Linked DNA regions of Mus musculus. The protein of the gene in region 3 interacts with the protein of the main gene of each other region in a pairwise test. Links are inferred from orthologs where the notes say so. Each region holds a gene or a part of one and is shown on either strand. Other genes may lie near its edges. The genes, in order: Fosl2, Spry1 and Creb5.

The links.
Region 1: the proteins of Creb5 (region 3) and Fosl2 interact in binary tests that used the Homo sapiens proteins (3 or more experiments, as listed by UniProt). The two-hybrid records come from large-scale screens. The link is inferred for Mus musculus from reciprocal best matches to the Homo sapiens genes CREB5 and FOSL2.
Region 2: the proteins of Creb5 (region 3) and Spry1 interact in binary tests that used the Homo sapiens proteins (3 or more experiments, as listed by UniProt). The two-hybrid records come from large-scale screens. The link is inferred for Mus musculus from reciprocal best matches to the Homo sapiens genes CREB5 and SPRY1.

The regions. Positions count from the first base shown.
Region 1 is NC_000071.6:32,134,844-32,139,311, forward strand, and holds the start of Fosl2 (fos-related antigen 2), read left to right. Parts: upstream 1-1,628; 5' UTR 1,629-1,860; coding exon 1,861-1,962; intron 1,963-4,468.
Region 2 is NC_000069.6:37,638,764-37,642,746, forward strand, and holds the start of Spry1 (protein sprouty homolog 1), read left to right. Parts: upstream 1-1,183; 5' UTR 1,184-1,342; intron 1,343-1,756; 5' UTR 1,757-2,045; intron 2,046-3,791; 5' UTR 3,792-3,846; coding exon 3,847-3,983. UniProt on the Homo sapiens protein: Inhibits fibroblast growth factor (FGF)-induced retinal lens fiber differentiation, probably by inhibiting FGF-mediated phosphorylation of ERK1/2. Inhibits TGFB-induced epithelial-to-mesenchymal transition in lens epithelial cells.
Region 3 is NC_000072.6:53,285,960-53,290,295, reverse strand, and holds the start of Creb5 (cyclic AMP-responsive element-binding protein 5), read right to left. Parts: upstream 2,994-4,336; 5' UTR 2,923-2,993; intron 2,922-2,922; exon of another isoform or gene 814-2,921; intron 808-813; exon of another isoform or gene 1-807. UniProt on the Homo sapiens protein: Binds to the cAMP response element and activates transcription.

The DNA.
Region 1 (4,468 bases), on a different chromosome or scaffold from region 3:
CTTCTAAGCAAGTTAATTGGAAGGCCAAAATAAAATAAATTAAAAAAAGAAAAAAGAAAAAGAAAAAAAAAAAAACAAGCGCGCGCGCGCGCACACACACACACACACACACACACACACAACACACACACACACAAAAAGGGGAAGCAGTGGGCAGCCAGGCTCCGAGTGAAAAATGGGCAGGCCAGCCCCGCCTGGCGACGCCGCGCCGCACCCCGCCAAGACCCGGCCGCAGGGTGGCGCGGGTGCCCGGTGCGCCCAGGACGCCCGCTGTACCGGGCGGCGCCGCTGAGGGTGCGGACGACTGCGCACGGCCGCGCCCTCCCCGCGAGCAGCTCTGCGCGCCGGGCTCTCTGCCTCGCGGTGGCGCCGCACTGAGCCGCCCGTCTCGTCTTCAGGGCTGCGATTTTTTTTTTTTTTTTTTTTTTTTCCTTTTCTAAAACCCGGAGCCCAGGCCGGCGCGGCCGCTTTCGGGGCCCCGCCCCGCGCCCCTTCCTTTTGGTTGGGGATGGAGGGGAGGAGGTAGGGAGGCCAGGGCGCAGGCGGGAGCAGGCGAGGGAATCCCTCTCCCTCCACGTCACCCGAAGGCGAGGAAACCCGCATTCGCGTCCTCTAACGCAAATGACCATCTTTGGCAACGTGCGCCAATGGAACAGACCAAGGGCGCTGCGCCCCAGGGGGGGTGGAGGAGTTCGGCGAGAACGCGGGCGGCCTCGGCGCCCCCGTAGTGCGAGGGCCGCGCTCTCCCACCCTCCCCGCCTCCCGCCTTCCTCGCGCGGGGTCTGTGGCTGGCGTCAGCGCGACCGCGAGCGAGGCCGGGAGGGGAGCGCCCCGCCCGCCTTCTCCCCTCCCCTCCCGCGCCTCTTCCTCCTCCTCCTTGTCCCAGGCCTCCTCCCCCGCCGCCTCGAGCGCTCCTCCCAGCAAGGTGGAGTCTAAGGTTGACGTGAGTGGATCCACATGGTGCGGGGCTGGAGAATAAAGAGTGTGGAGTTGAACTCGTGCCATTGTAGTGACTCATCTCGGGCAGAGCGCAGGGGCTCGAAGCGAGACAGTGAGCGGCGCTCGGCAGGGACAGAGAGAGAGAAAGAGAGCGAGCGCAAGAAAGAGGGGGAGAGAGGGGAGGGCGAAGCGAGGCGAGAAGCGCGAGGCTTGGCAGGTCCTGGAGCCAGCACGGGGTGCAGGTCACTGCGACGCGGAGCCACGTCCCTCTCAGCACCGCTCAGCCTAGAATCCCACGGGCGCTGTCCCACCGGCGCGATCGGGGCCGCTGGACCGGCGCTCACCGCCTTGTCCTAAGTCAAGTGTCCGAGTCGCCGGGAAACTCAGGCGGCGAGTTGGCCACAGGAAGTTTATTCTCGGGCTCCTTTTCTAAAAGGAGGAAACAGAAGTTTCTCCCAACCGGCAGCTTTTCTTTTTCGCCTTTTTGGCGCCCTGAGAGATCGGGGAGGGAGTCCCCCAGAGCTGCCAAGCGACACCCGCGGGGCTCCTAGTCTTTTTGCGTTGCCCATTTTTCTCCAGCCCGTGGGTCCCGGCAGAGCTCCGGCTGCGCGCGGGGGCGGAAGGGCGCGCGCAGGGGAGGGACCGAGGGACGCGCCGACTTTTTAGAGGGAGGGACTCGGTGGACAACCGGTTCCGCGGAGCTTGCAGAGCAGAAACGAAGTGCGGTGCGCGGCGATCGGGGGGGTCACTTCCCGAGTGTCGCTGCCTCCTGTCTGCCTTGGTTAGGGGACATCCCGGGAGCGAAAAGCCCAGCCCGTGGCCGGGCCGGTGGACCAGCGAGCGCGCAGCAGACTGTGCGCGGCCGCGGCGAGGGCGGGGAAGAAAACCACCCTGTTTCCTCTCCGGCCCCCACCGCGGATCATGTACCAGGATTATCCCGGGAACTTTGACACCTCGTCCCGGGGCAGCAGCGGCTCTCCTGCGCACGCCGAGTCCTACTCCAGCGGTGGCGGCGGCCAGCAGGTACGTGCGGGCCGGGGTGCACCTGGCGGCGCGGGCAGACTCCTACCCTCTTCTTGCTCCCACTGCCTCCACCCCCAACCTCCTTCTTTTCCCTTTCCTAGCCAGGCTAGAAAAATACTTCACCGCTGTAAGTTGTGGGTTTCTTTTCTTTTCTTTTTCTTTTTTTTTTTCCTGTTCCGCCCTACCCACTCTCCACTTTTCTTTTTCTTTTTCTTTTCTTTTCTTTTCTTTTTTTTTAAGCAAGTGGAGAGTGGGCTTGAAGAGCCAACGACACCCTCTCCCCCTTTTCGTACTTAATTTTCCAGAAAAGCTCTTGAAATTACAGGTCCCCTCCGGGAAGCCTGTTGCCTCCTTCCGAGCCGCTCTCCCTCCCTTTTCACGTTCCTCTTTCTAGGTAGTGGATAGGCAAGAAAATTTTTGCGCCCCCTAAGCCCCTCCCAGCCGTCAAGGACCCTACGGGGGGGGGCGGGGGGGAAGGCTTTTTAACCCTTTCTTCTTCTGTTATTCTTCGGTCTTAGCTGTTTTCTGAAAGGGATTGGGGACTCAAAAACAAAGCTGGGCTCCTTCAAGTGTTTGGGAGTGAGGGCGAGGGTTGCCCCTGGGAATTAGGTGCGAAGGTCAGGAAGGAAGAAGCTGGCTTTGATTGGCTCTTGACACCTCCTGTGACACCCCCCCTCCAGCTTCCGGTAAGGGTTGGGCAGGAGCCTGTACTTCCCCCCCCCCCCAGCAGAACTTTGAGGGGCTTGGGGGTACCTGGGGCAAAGAAGCTGTCAGAGAGAAGTGGGAGAAAGAGACACATCGCTTGAGCTCCTGAGTGGATTTAGAAGTAGAAAAACATCTCTTTCTAAAGCAGCCAGACTGGTTTGCACTGAAGGATTGTGCCTGTAATCTGTGTCTTTGTAGGTACCAGACAGGTATTGGTGGGGCGGTAGGGGTGGTAGGGTACCTGGCCTGTGTCGCAGGAACCACAAACACCATCTTGTGAGGGAATTGCATGAACTCAAAAGGTCCTCTGCCACCTGAAGCCCACCTTGGCAAGCATCTGGGAGTTCCTAGCCAAGCTGGCTGCAGCCAGAGTTACTCCATAAGCCAATAGCCATGGCCTTGACTTTGACCTTTAGAAGTCAACCAGATAGGAGGTCAGGGGTCTTCCAGGGAAGGGTGGAGTGAGCTGGGAAATATAATAAAAATATGGCTTTCTTTGTAATCTGACAAGAGGGGCACCTCTCTCAAAGTAATGTTCCATATCTGGGGAGTCCTTCTAAATGACTTTTCTGTGTCTAGCTCCTCCCAAGCCCCATACCTACTAAGCACCCACTGTAGACAGCCTGGTCTGAGCATTGAGGGTCCAGTCAGTGGACCCTTTCTTACTACTGAACACCCAAATCATACCTGAGAAGTAGTCGCTTATGTTTGCATCCCAGTACATTTGGTGTTTTGGGTTGAACCCAAACATCACTCATCAATGGGTTTAGAGTCCTTTATACCTGTTGTCCCCTACTTTCCAATCCAATAACCCCACCCCATGTACCTCTCCTTTCCAACCAACATAGAAGCTTTGCGTTTCTGTTTCTTCCACTAATGAGACCAAGACAGTGAGCACTGACAGTACAATCTCCCTGCCTGGCTTTGCTCAGACTCTGGGGCCTGGATGGGAAGTCAGACCGGACATCAGTGCCCCAACTGAATAATCTGTGTCACTAGGGCTTTGAGCCCAGGATGTGAGCGGAGGCAATTCCCTGTTTTGGAAGCAAATCAGACAGGAAACCGATGCTCGGATGAAGGAAGAGAGCTCCGTCCAGCAGTGTGTAATAGGGCCTCATTACCCAAGCAAAAAGCAGCTGTTGGCTAATTCCTAGCATGCTGTAACACAGGAGGATTTTGCAATTAGCAGCAACCAGTGCATGCGATTCTCAGGTATAGCTGCCTATTCTGCTCAGCCTTATGAGCAAGAAGTCTTTCAAACCAGAGGGATTGGCAAGGTAATGCCACTTAAGCCAACTCTCAGCCTTGTCGGGGCGGTGGGTAGGAGACGAGGAACAGGGGGAAGGCTTCCCCCTCCCTGATCTGGCTGTCTATAAAACTGTTCTGTGGTCCCAGTGATAGGCCTCTGTTTTTGTTACTTCCCAAGTCTGTGCTGCTACCCCACCCCAATCTGGGCTCAAGGTAACTTTATTACATGCCAGATAAAGTCTGTAATCAGCTCTGCTCCCAGCCCTCTACATGGGGAAGCTTTCCTGGCAGTTAGTGACTGGGCCTTCCTCCTTTATGACTGCACGGTGGACCAATCCAATCAGTGGAACTTGTGAGAAGTTCCTGGTTTTCCTTGTGCAAGTGCATACTATTTTCCCCCTGTTCTCCTTGTTTGTGGGGTCCTGTATCCCCATAAATTTGCTGTCTGGCACTCCCCCCCCGACCCCCCCCCCCGCGACATCTAGCTTCATAAGGTCTTAATACTGCGTCTTAGTACTAAGTACCTAGTACTTCCCCACTGACCTGTGGGGTG
Region 2 (3,983 bases), on a different chromosome or scaffold from region 3:
CAAACAGCTTCTTGGCTTTTAATACGTTCTATTACCTTCTAGTGCACTTTCTTACTGCTGATCTTCTTCATAGGGAGTGTCCTGGGTTCCTTGCATGTAATTCCACACATAACCGTGAATTCTAAAAACATTCAAAAGCTTGCAAATGCATTATGCCAACAACAACAAAAACTTTATAAAAACTCACTGCAATTGTTAAGACTTAAAAAAAAAATTACTTTGAACCCAAAATATCCTAACTCACATTCACAGGTGATTTAGATCATGGAGTTTTTGTTTATCAAATACCATTCCTGATAAAATTCCCTGGAAAAATATTTTCTATCAATATTTTGGGGGTCTTAGGTTATTTTTAAAACTCTATGGAATTTTTAATTCCACATACAGCCCTTTTCACTACATCCTGAGCTATAGCGTCCATATAATAAATAACCAAATTCCATAGTATGTAAAGACGCAAAAAGCATTCCCAGCTTACTAAAGTCCCCCACCCCGTGACAGACATATGGCTAAAGCTAAAACTTCCTGATGAGTTATGCTTATTTTATTTCATTTAAAATGCATTGGTGTTTTGGACAAAATTATACAAACATTACAAAGCAGGAAGAACTTGGGCCCCGTTTTCTCCCCTTCCCCTCCCCCCGTGTAATTTTAGGGATCGTATCACAAACCAAATGGAGCAATCACTAAAACCCCACAGCAGGAAATCCCACCCTTTAGTGTGTAATTATATTACATTTGCAAAAATGACTGTTCTTTCTGAAACTTTCATATTTCGCATGATCTGAACTTTGCACTTTTCCCTTTATCTGGGGGCACGGTGTCATGGTGTACACATTTTTTTTTCCGTTGTTGTTGGTGGTTTGTTATTGTTTTTTAAATGTTCTTCACAACTCTTTTTAAACTCAACTCTAAGGGTGGCTGCACCAGTCCCCTTAAATTGGAGGCTGACAGCTCACGACTGACAGGGGCCCTGGAATGCCCGCTCCTCCCCAGTTGCGCTCGCAGGACTCCTGCAGGCAATCGACTTTTGTTAGAGCGTCCTCGAGTCCACATCCACGATCGCTGAAATCCTGCTCCGGGTTTTCGTGCAGCCCGCGTGATTGACACATGATATCACCGGGGGCGGGTCCCGGCGTGGAGGTGGAGGTGGCGGCGACGCTGAAATGCTGCGGAGCCCGCGCGCGAGTGCTCAGCACGCAGGGGTTTGCGGCGGCCCCGCAGCCAGAGCTCTGCGGGCTAAGGAGCGGCTGCGAGCGGCGTGCATGTGCCGGGAGGGCCGGCCCCAGGCTCTGCACTAGGTAAGAGCCTTCCCCTCCCGCCGAGGACCTGGCAAGATCAGGTGAGAATGGTGCTTTATTTTATTTTATTTTCGAGGAGCTGGACGTTTTCGGAGCTGGCTCTAGCTCTGTGCCCGGCGCTTTGCGGTCGGCCCTGCAGCGAGTTCCGTAGCCAGGCAGCGAGTTACGCGTGTGCGAACGCGGGCTGGCACCGCCGCGCACCCGCGTGTCTGTGCGCATTGTTGGGGACCGACCCGCCGGGCGCTCGTGCCAGACCTGACTTTTCCCGTCCCTGCGTGCGGGCTTGCCTCGCGCAGACGCGTCTCTCGGACGCGCTTTGGACTGCGGGGCATTCCGTGGGGGCAAAACGTGCACGGCCGTGTGTGTCCGGGGCTCGTGGCTGTCCATCTCGGCGAGCAGGACAGCGTCCCGGGCTGGCAAGGGACTCACGTGTTTCTGTCTCTGCTCGTCTGCAGCCGGCGTGGCGACTGCGGGGACGCGGACCTGCGGGGACCCGAGAGCCCGGGACGACGCCGGGCCGCGCGCCTGACGACCGGGACGGGACGGTGCTGTGGAGCGGGCGCCGCGCGCACCCGGCGGATGTCCCCGAGCCGCCCTCGGCCGCCGCCAACCGCGGAGAAGCGCCCCTGCCCGGGGGCCGCCGAGGCCGCAGCGCGGGCCATGCGCGCCCGGCCGCCCCGCCGCGCTTGATGCGGCGCGCGCTCCGCCCGCTCGGCGCCCCCGGCCGGCGCCGCGGAGGCCGAGGTGAGTGCGGGCGGCAGGTGCGGGCCGGGGCGGGCCGGGCGGTCCTGGCGGTCCTCGCGCAGCCCGTGCCAAGCGCGCGGCACCCGATGGCGCTGGGGACCCAGCGCCCGCCTGTGCTCGGAGCGCAGTGCCGCGGGACGCGGGGAGAGGGCGCTGCCTCCTCCCGCCCGCGAGCTGTTTTCATTCATAACTTTATCCGGCCGGACCTGCCGCGGCTCGGTGCCCCTGAGGTCTCGGCGTGGGGCCCAAGCGCCCGACGGTGCTACCCACACTGCTGTCCGCGGGTGCGCACCGGCTTCGCTCTGGACAGTTGCGGGGTGCCTAGGTGCTCCGCCTGAGCGAACTTGCTTGGGAATGCCCTGTAAAATGCAAATTAAAGCCGTGCCTAGGGGTTTCATAACTCAAACAAGCCGTGCCCACGTCTTCCTTTCTTGTGGATGAGACTTGGCATATTTAAAGTCTTCGTTATGGAGTTTTAAATTTTTAAAAAATAGATATGGCACAGGAGCAAGGATGGGCAGTTTTCTAGTGTCGTTTAGGGCTTCGGCACCACAACATGCTGTTATGGCCGTGCATCTCATGTGCGGAGAAGGTAGTTATAAGCTTAGAGGGGCCTCCAAAAAGCTAACACATATGTAGTCTGGGGACATTAGTTAGCATCCATAGTAAACCGACGTATTTGTTTTGATTTTCTTTGGATGCCAGAAAAGTGCAAAGGGGTGCCTTCTTGAATTAAGGTGCATCTGTGAGTTCGGAAGGCATTTGTGTAAAAAAATATCTTAGATACCTATTGCCCAGAAACAGAATCGAAAGAGTTTGGTCTGTCTCAGGAAGAATACGTTATAAATTGGAAGCTATTTCCTTTTGACATGGAAGTTGTGTTTGTTGTCTATCAGTGTATTTATTTTACTACAAAAAGCAGGTCAATTCAGGGCTTGTGAAAATCAAGGTCTGTCGTGCTAATAAATGAAGGGAATTAAATATAATGTAAAAAGACCAGGGCTCCTCTCCCTGCTTTAAAGGGCTGACACTTGTGCATAAGTTATCCTCGTTGTGTGGGGGAGCCTTGATTAACCTTTAAGGAAAGCTAAGTCCACACCGTCCGGGTTGTGTTCTTTGTGGCAGAGCACTCTTCATTCTTTGTAGCTTCCTTTGCTCGTCTCACAGATCTGTGTGATGAGCTAGCTTCAGACCCGGACTTCTGCTGAAAATGGCCTTTTGAGATTCCGAGTGAGCTTGGAATAGCCGGTGTTTTGGAAATTGCCTTGATTAATTTTCTCATTAATCTAAAGCTCGTAACAGCATATAAATGGCCGAGAGGCCACAGCACTAAAGCCATTCTTAATCTTTAAAAAGTAGCTGACATTTTCCTTACGTGAACTGCCAGTGAACTGACAGTGAACTCTGAGAACAGTTCCAGGGCTCACACTGAATTGCTCTTTCGAAGGCATATTTCATTTTAATTATTTGTTAGGTTTGCAAACAGGAAGACACGACTTCCTCTGCTTCTTAGAAGCTGGAGAGCAACTTCTAATTTTTAAGGCATGAGGTCTTTGCTGTCTTCCTGTGATATGGTCCTCTGCAATCTTTTTTTTGGAGTTGGACTCTGGCCAGGCTTCGGCATCATTGAAATCAGCCGATGAAGGGGATCATTACCAGGTGGCTTGGGGAATTTGTTACTTGACAGCAGCCCTTCTCCCCCAAATCCGCTTTCTGTCGCTTATTTTCTCTCTCACTCTTCTTTAGGATTTCAGATGCATGGCAGATTTCCGCTGACTGCTGGAACTGGAGATCACTCCACATGGATTCCCCAAGTCAGCATGGCAGCCACACTTCGCTAGTGGTGATTCAGCCACCGGCTGTGGAAGGCCGGCAGAGGTTAGACTATGACAGGGACACTCAGCCTGCTACGATTCTGTCCCTAGACCAGATCAAAGC
Region 3 (4,336 bases):
TTCCAGCCCTGGGAGCTAAGCTTGTCAGGGTTCAGCCACTCTAAAGCTCCAATTGTTTATTTAAATAAAAAAAAATATCGCTACTGGGATAATCCACATCTCATGGATATGGGAAAATTTAGGTTATAATGGCACTACAAACTTTTACATCTAACTTTGATTTACAAGATAAAAGCAAGTTTTAAATTAAAAGGGCTTTCTGTTAACAGAGCTTATTATTCTGAAGACGGGAATGATTTTCTTCGAAAGTTGTCCCTGGGTGCATGCCTATTATCTTTGCTGTTCCCCTTCCACTAATGAGCATTTATCTAAAGAGCCTGTTAATCCTCTGATGTGTGCTTCTGGTCAGAGGTAACAGTTTGAATAAAACCACTAATCACTGATCACTAAATCAGTGATCATTAATCACACTGTCCAGGGCCCGTGACCTGCCCATTTTCCCCTTTAGGTCTCTGCATCACAAACAAGAATTTTAACATTTTCAATGCCCATGCTTCCCATAGGAGACTTATGCCACTTCATCGCTAGATGCCAATAAATAATGCTGCCACAAACTTGAAGAAGGGGTGTCAAGCGATCTCCAGCCACGAGCTCCACAAAGCCTGCTCTATGGCCAGAGTATGTTGGAGAAAGTAGATCTAATTATAACCAAACACGTGTTCTTCAAGAATGCCACCTATTTAGAACATAAAATTTCCTCTACTTAGCTTCCTCCATCTCCAAATCAAAACGCCTTCAAACACCTTGTCCCCCAGCCCAAAGCTTCTGCCTCTGTCTGTTTTTACTGGATTTCTGCTATCATTATTCACTCACGCCCAAAAGTTTTCACTCTTTGTCCCCGAAACAAGTCACACGTGGTGGTGTTTTTGCTGCTGGTGTTCTTTTAAAGAGCAAGTGGGGAAGAACTCAGTTCTCTAAATTGGGCGTTTAACTTCCTCTACAAACATAGAAACTCAAGGATAAGGATAAGAAAGTACCGCGCGCAGCAGCAGCAAAGTGTTGTATGGTACTTTCAGCTCTCAGACACTTCCTTGACTTTGGAAATAAAATGTCAAATCTAGATCCTTTCCCGCTAAACCTGATTTAGTCAGGTCCTTCATCCTTCTCCTAGGCTCGGTTCACGGGGCTCTGGGCTCTTAGCTGTGGCTTATTGCTTTCCTAAGTCACTGCAGGCACAAGCTATTAGCATATAAGGCTTCTAAACCTTTCCAGGGATTTTTCTATCCAGGCTGAACATTCTCGCGTGGGAAAAACGGGCCTGGATAGTGCCTTTCTTAAATAATAGAAAAGGGCAGATTGAGCGTTCATCAGGTACTGAGCTCGCTCAGGCACCAGAAGCTCTTCAGCTCACTCCTGGGACAGCATTCCCCCTGGGGGAAACTGTAAAAGGCGGGGGCAGGCCGAGTGATAACGAGGTGGGCGGGAGAGGGATGGAGGAAGAGGGGTAGGGAAAGAGAGGGCAATAGCTGTGTCCAGAGAACCCGCAATTGCCCCGGGGGATGGGGGCATAGTTGCTTTGACAGCATTCTGAGCCCCCAAACCCTTGAATATCTGAAGCCCTTAATAAAACACTTACTGGCCTGCAGAATGACGTAATGGACCTGTAGCCAGCCTTTATTCTTTGACACATGTCAGGAAGAGGGAAAAATAAAAAACCAAGCAAGCGTTGCTGATACTGACAACGATGTACAAGTAGCCCACTCTAGTTCCCAGCGTTGAACCAGCATCAAGTGGGGGCGGCACTCGTCCAGGGAAAGCTGGAGCTTTTTCTACTAGACACTCCCTGGAAATAAATCTATGACTAGAAAATAAATGAAAAATTAAAGCGGGCTATAGTCCCTCTAAAGTGGCTTAGTGGGGGCGGTGTCTGCTTGTCTCAACCCTTTAAGAACTTTGTGAAAAGTTTAAGCGGTTCGATAAAGAATCTGGCTCAAAGGCAGACTCTGTCGCCCGGTCCTGAGAACCGCCTGGGTGCAGTGCGGCTCGGGCCCCAGCTGTCATTTGGGGCAGCAGCCCGGAAGAAGTAAGAGTGCCAGCGCAAAGGGGACGGAGGCGGGAGGCGGCTGCAGGAGTGAAGGCGAGGGCTGCGGAGCACTCTCGAGCTGGAGCGCCTGGAGCGAAAGTCAAGTCCCCCTCCAAGGCAACCGACCCTCCCGCTGCAGCCGGCGGCCGGTCGCGAGAACTGGCAGCGGCCGCTGGGCACCCGGGAGAGGGAGAACCCCCTGCGAACTCGCTCGGCTGCCCCTAGGTGACCAGGCGACTTTGCCGCAACGGTTGGAAGTTTGCTAACTTTCTCCCGGGGTTCCGCTGCATCACTGAGAAACGGGATGCGAGGAGGCTCCAGGTTCCTGGTCTGTTGCTGCTGCTGCTACCACTGCCGCCTCCGCCGCCGCCACCACCACCGCCGCTTGACCACACTTCAGAAGGGTTCCACACCATGCCGGGGCTCTGGAGGCAAACATACACCCCCGATTCATAACTGTTCCCCGTGTCAGGGAAACTCACGCGCGCTCCCATACACGCACGCACACTGGGTCGGACACGGCGCTGGCTCCACTCAGCATCCCTCCAGTCGCACGGCGCAGCAATCACCAAGAAGCGCTCCGGGACGGACACGGCGTGGGGTCTCTGGGTGACTACAGGACACAGCACAACTCCACAGTCCACCAGCAATTGGGGCCGGACTTCCTTCTGATCCGCCAAAGTGTTTACAAACACAAATCAAGGGGGAAAAAATGCATCGCATCCTTTCTACTCCTTGCCCTGTGACCTGCCCATTGGACTAAGTAACCTCGCGGCTGCAGCGATGAACCAACCCCTGCAAACAAGGACGCTCCGGAGTCGGCTCGCGCGGCAAGTGCAGCGAAAGTGGCTAAATGCAAAAGGCCCAGAAGTGGCCGCGCCGTATTTTTAGGAACTTACCAAACAAGTGTGGAGAAGGCAAGAGCCGAGCCCGGGTGAAGGGACCACGTTGGACTGAGCAAAGATTACAATACATTCTATTTAGAGTGCATTACATCACCCCCCCGGTGACGTCACGTGGGATTCCTGAACTTCTAAATCATTGCGGTCCGTTGGGGAAAAGGAGGGAGAGAGGGGCGGGGCCCGCACGCCGAGGGGGCGGGCCCGGTCTCCGCCCCGCCCAAATCCCGCCCCTCGAGCGGACCCGGGTGCTTGCGGCGGCGTCCGCGATCGCGCAAGCAACAGCTTGCACAGCCCAGCGCCGAGTAACACGGCCCCCCGACATTAGTGGTGTGAGTCAGCTTGGAAACAATCCTGAAGGTTTCAAACAGAGCCACGCAGGAGACACCGGCACGAGCTCTTCTGCAAGAAGTGTCTGTAGGGTCAGAAAGAAGTAAGGTTTGGGGTGTGTGCATGAGGTGGTAAGGATGCTGAAGGAGGTAGAAAGAGACATTTACACTTACAAATGCAGGCCACTTCCTACTTCCCTACCCCAGCCACCGAAGATACCCAGATCCTTTGCCTGTGACAGCCATGACCTCATTGCAGCGTTCTCTGCATGCTGGCTTCTTAGTATCTCCATTTCGCCGCCCCTCTCCTCATCACGCTCAAGGGCATATAACTTCTTGTGCACACTCAGTAGGACTACACACAGCCTTCCCTGGTCTCGCACCTTGCATGTGCTGACCTGTGAGAGAATCTCTCTAAAGGCGAAAGGCGAATCTCAGCCAAGAGCCAAATGATGAGCCGGATTTAGACTCCGCGTCAGCGCCGGAAGGGCCCTGGCCATTGCTTCCAGAGCCTCTGCTACTGGCCCAAGCTCGCCGGCTGGGAAGCAGTCGAGCCAGGGCTAGAATACAGGATCTAGGGCCAGGTCTGCAAAGGGAAAAGAGGACTGACCTTTTTCAGCATGGGCCAGAAGCCACCGCTCTCACCTTCCTCATCCCTGGCAAGGGCTAGATTTCCTTTTGGAAGCTCTCTCTCCCTTTGGGGAGCATTGAAAGCCTGTTCGAAATGACCACTGTCATCCAACAACAGCTCACACTTTGCCAAACACTTGAAGCCACACCATTTTCTTCTTCCTCATATGACTTTGACAGAATAAGGAAAAGCGGGGAGTGTGTTGTAATTATCTCTATTTCACAGCTGAGCTGAGGCAGACAGACTCAGAAGGCTAGGAGCTCTCCTGATCATCAGGGACCACTCTAGCGCATGTCTAACCCCAGATCTCACCTGGGTTCCTTGGTAGAATCAGGCATATTAATTCTTTTCTGATGGCTGACTGGTTAGAACTTCAACTAAGAGCTTGCTGGCTGGGAGTTGGATCTTTGCTTAGGAACAGTTTAGCCCCCATTAACAAACAATAATGGCTCCT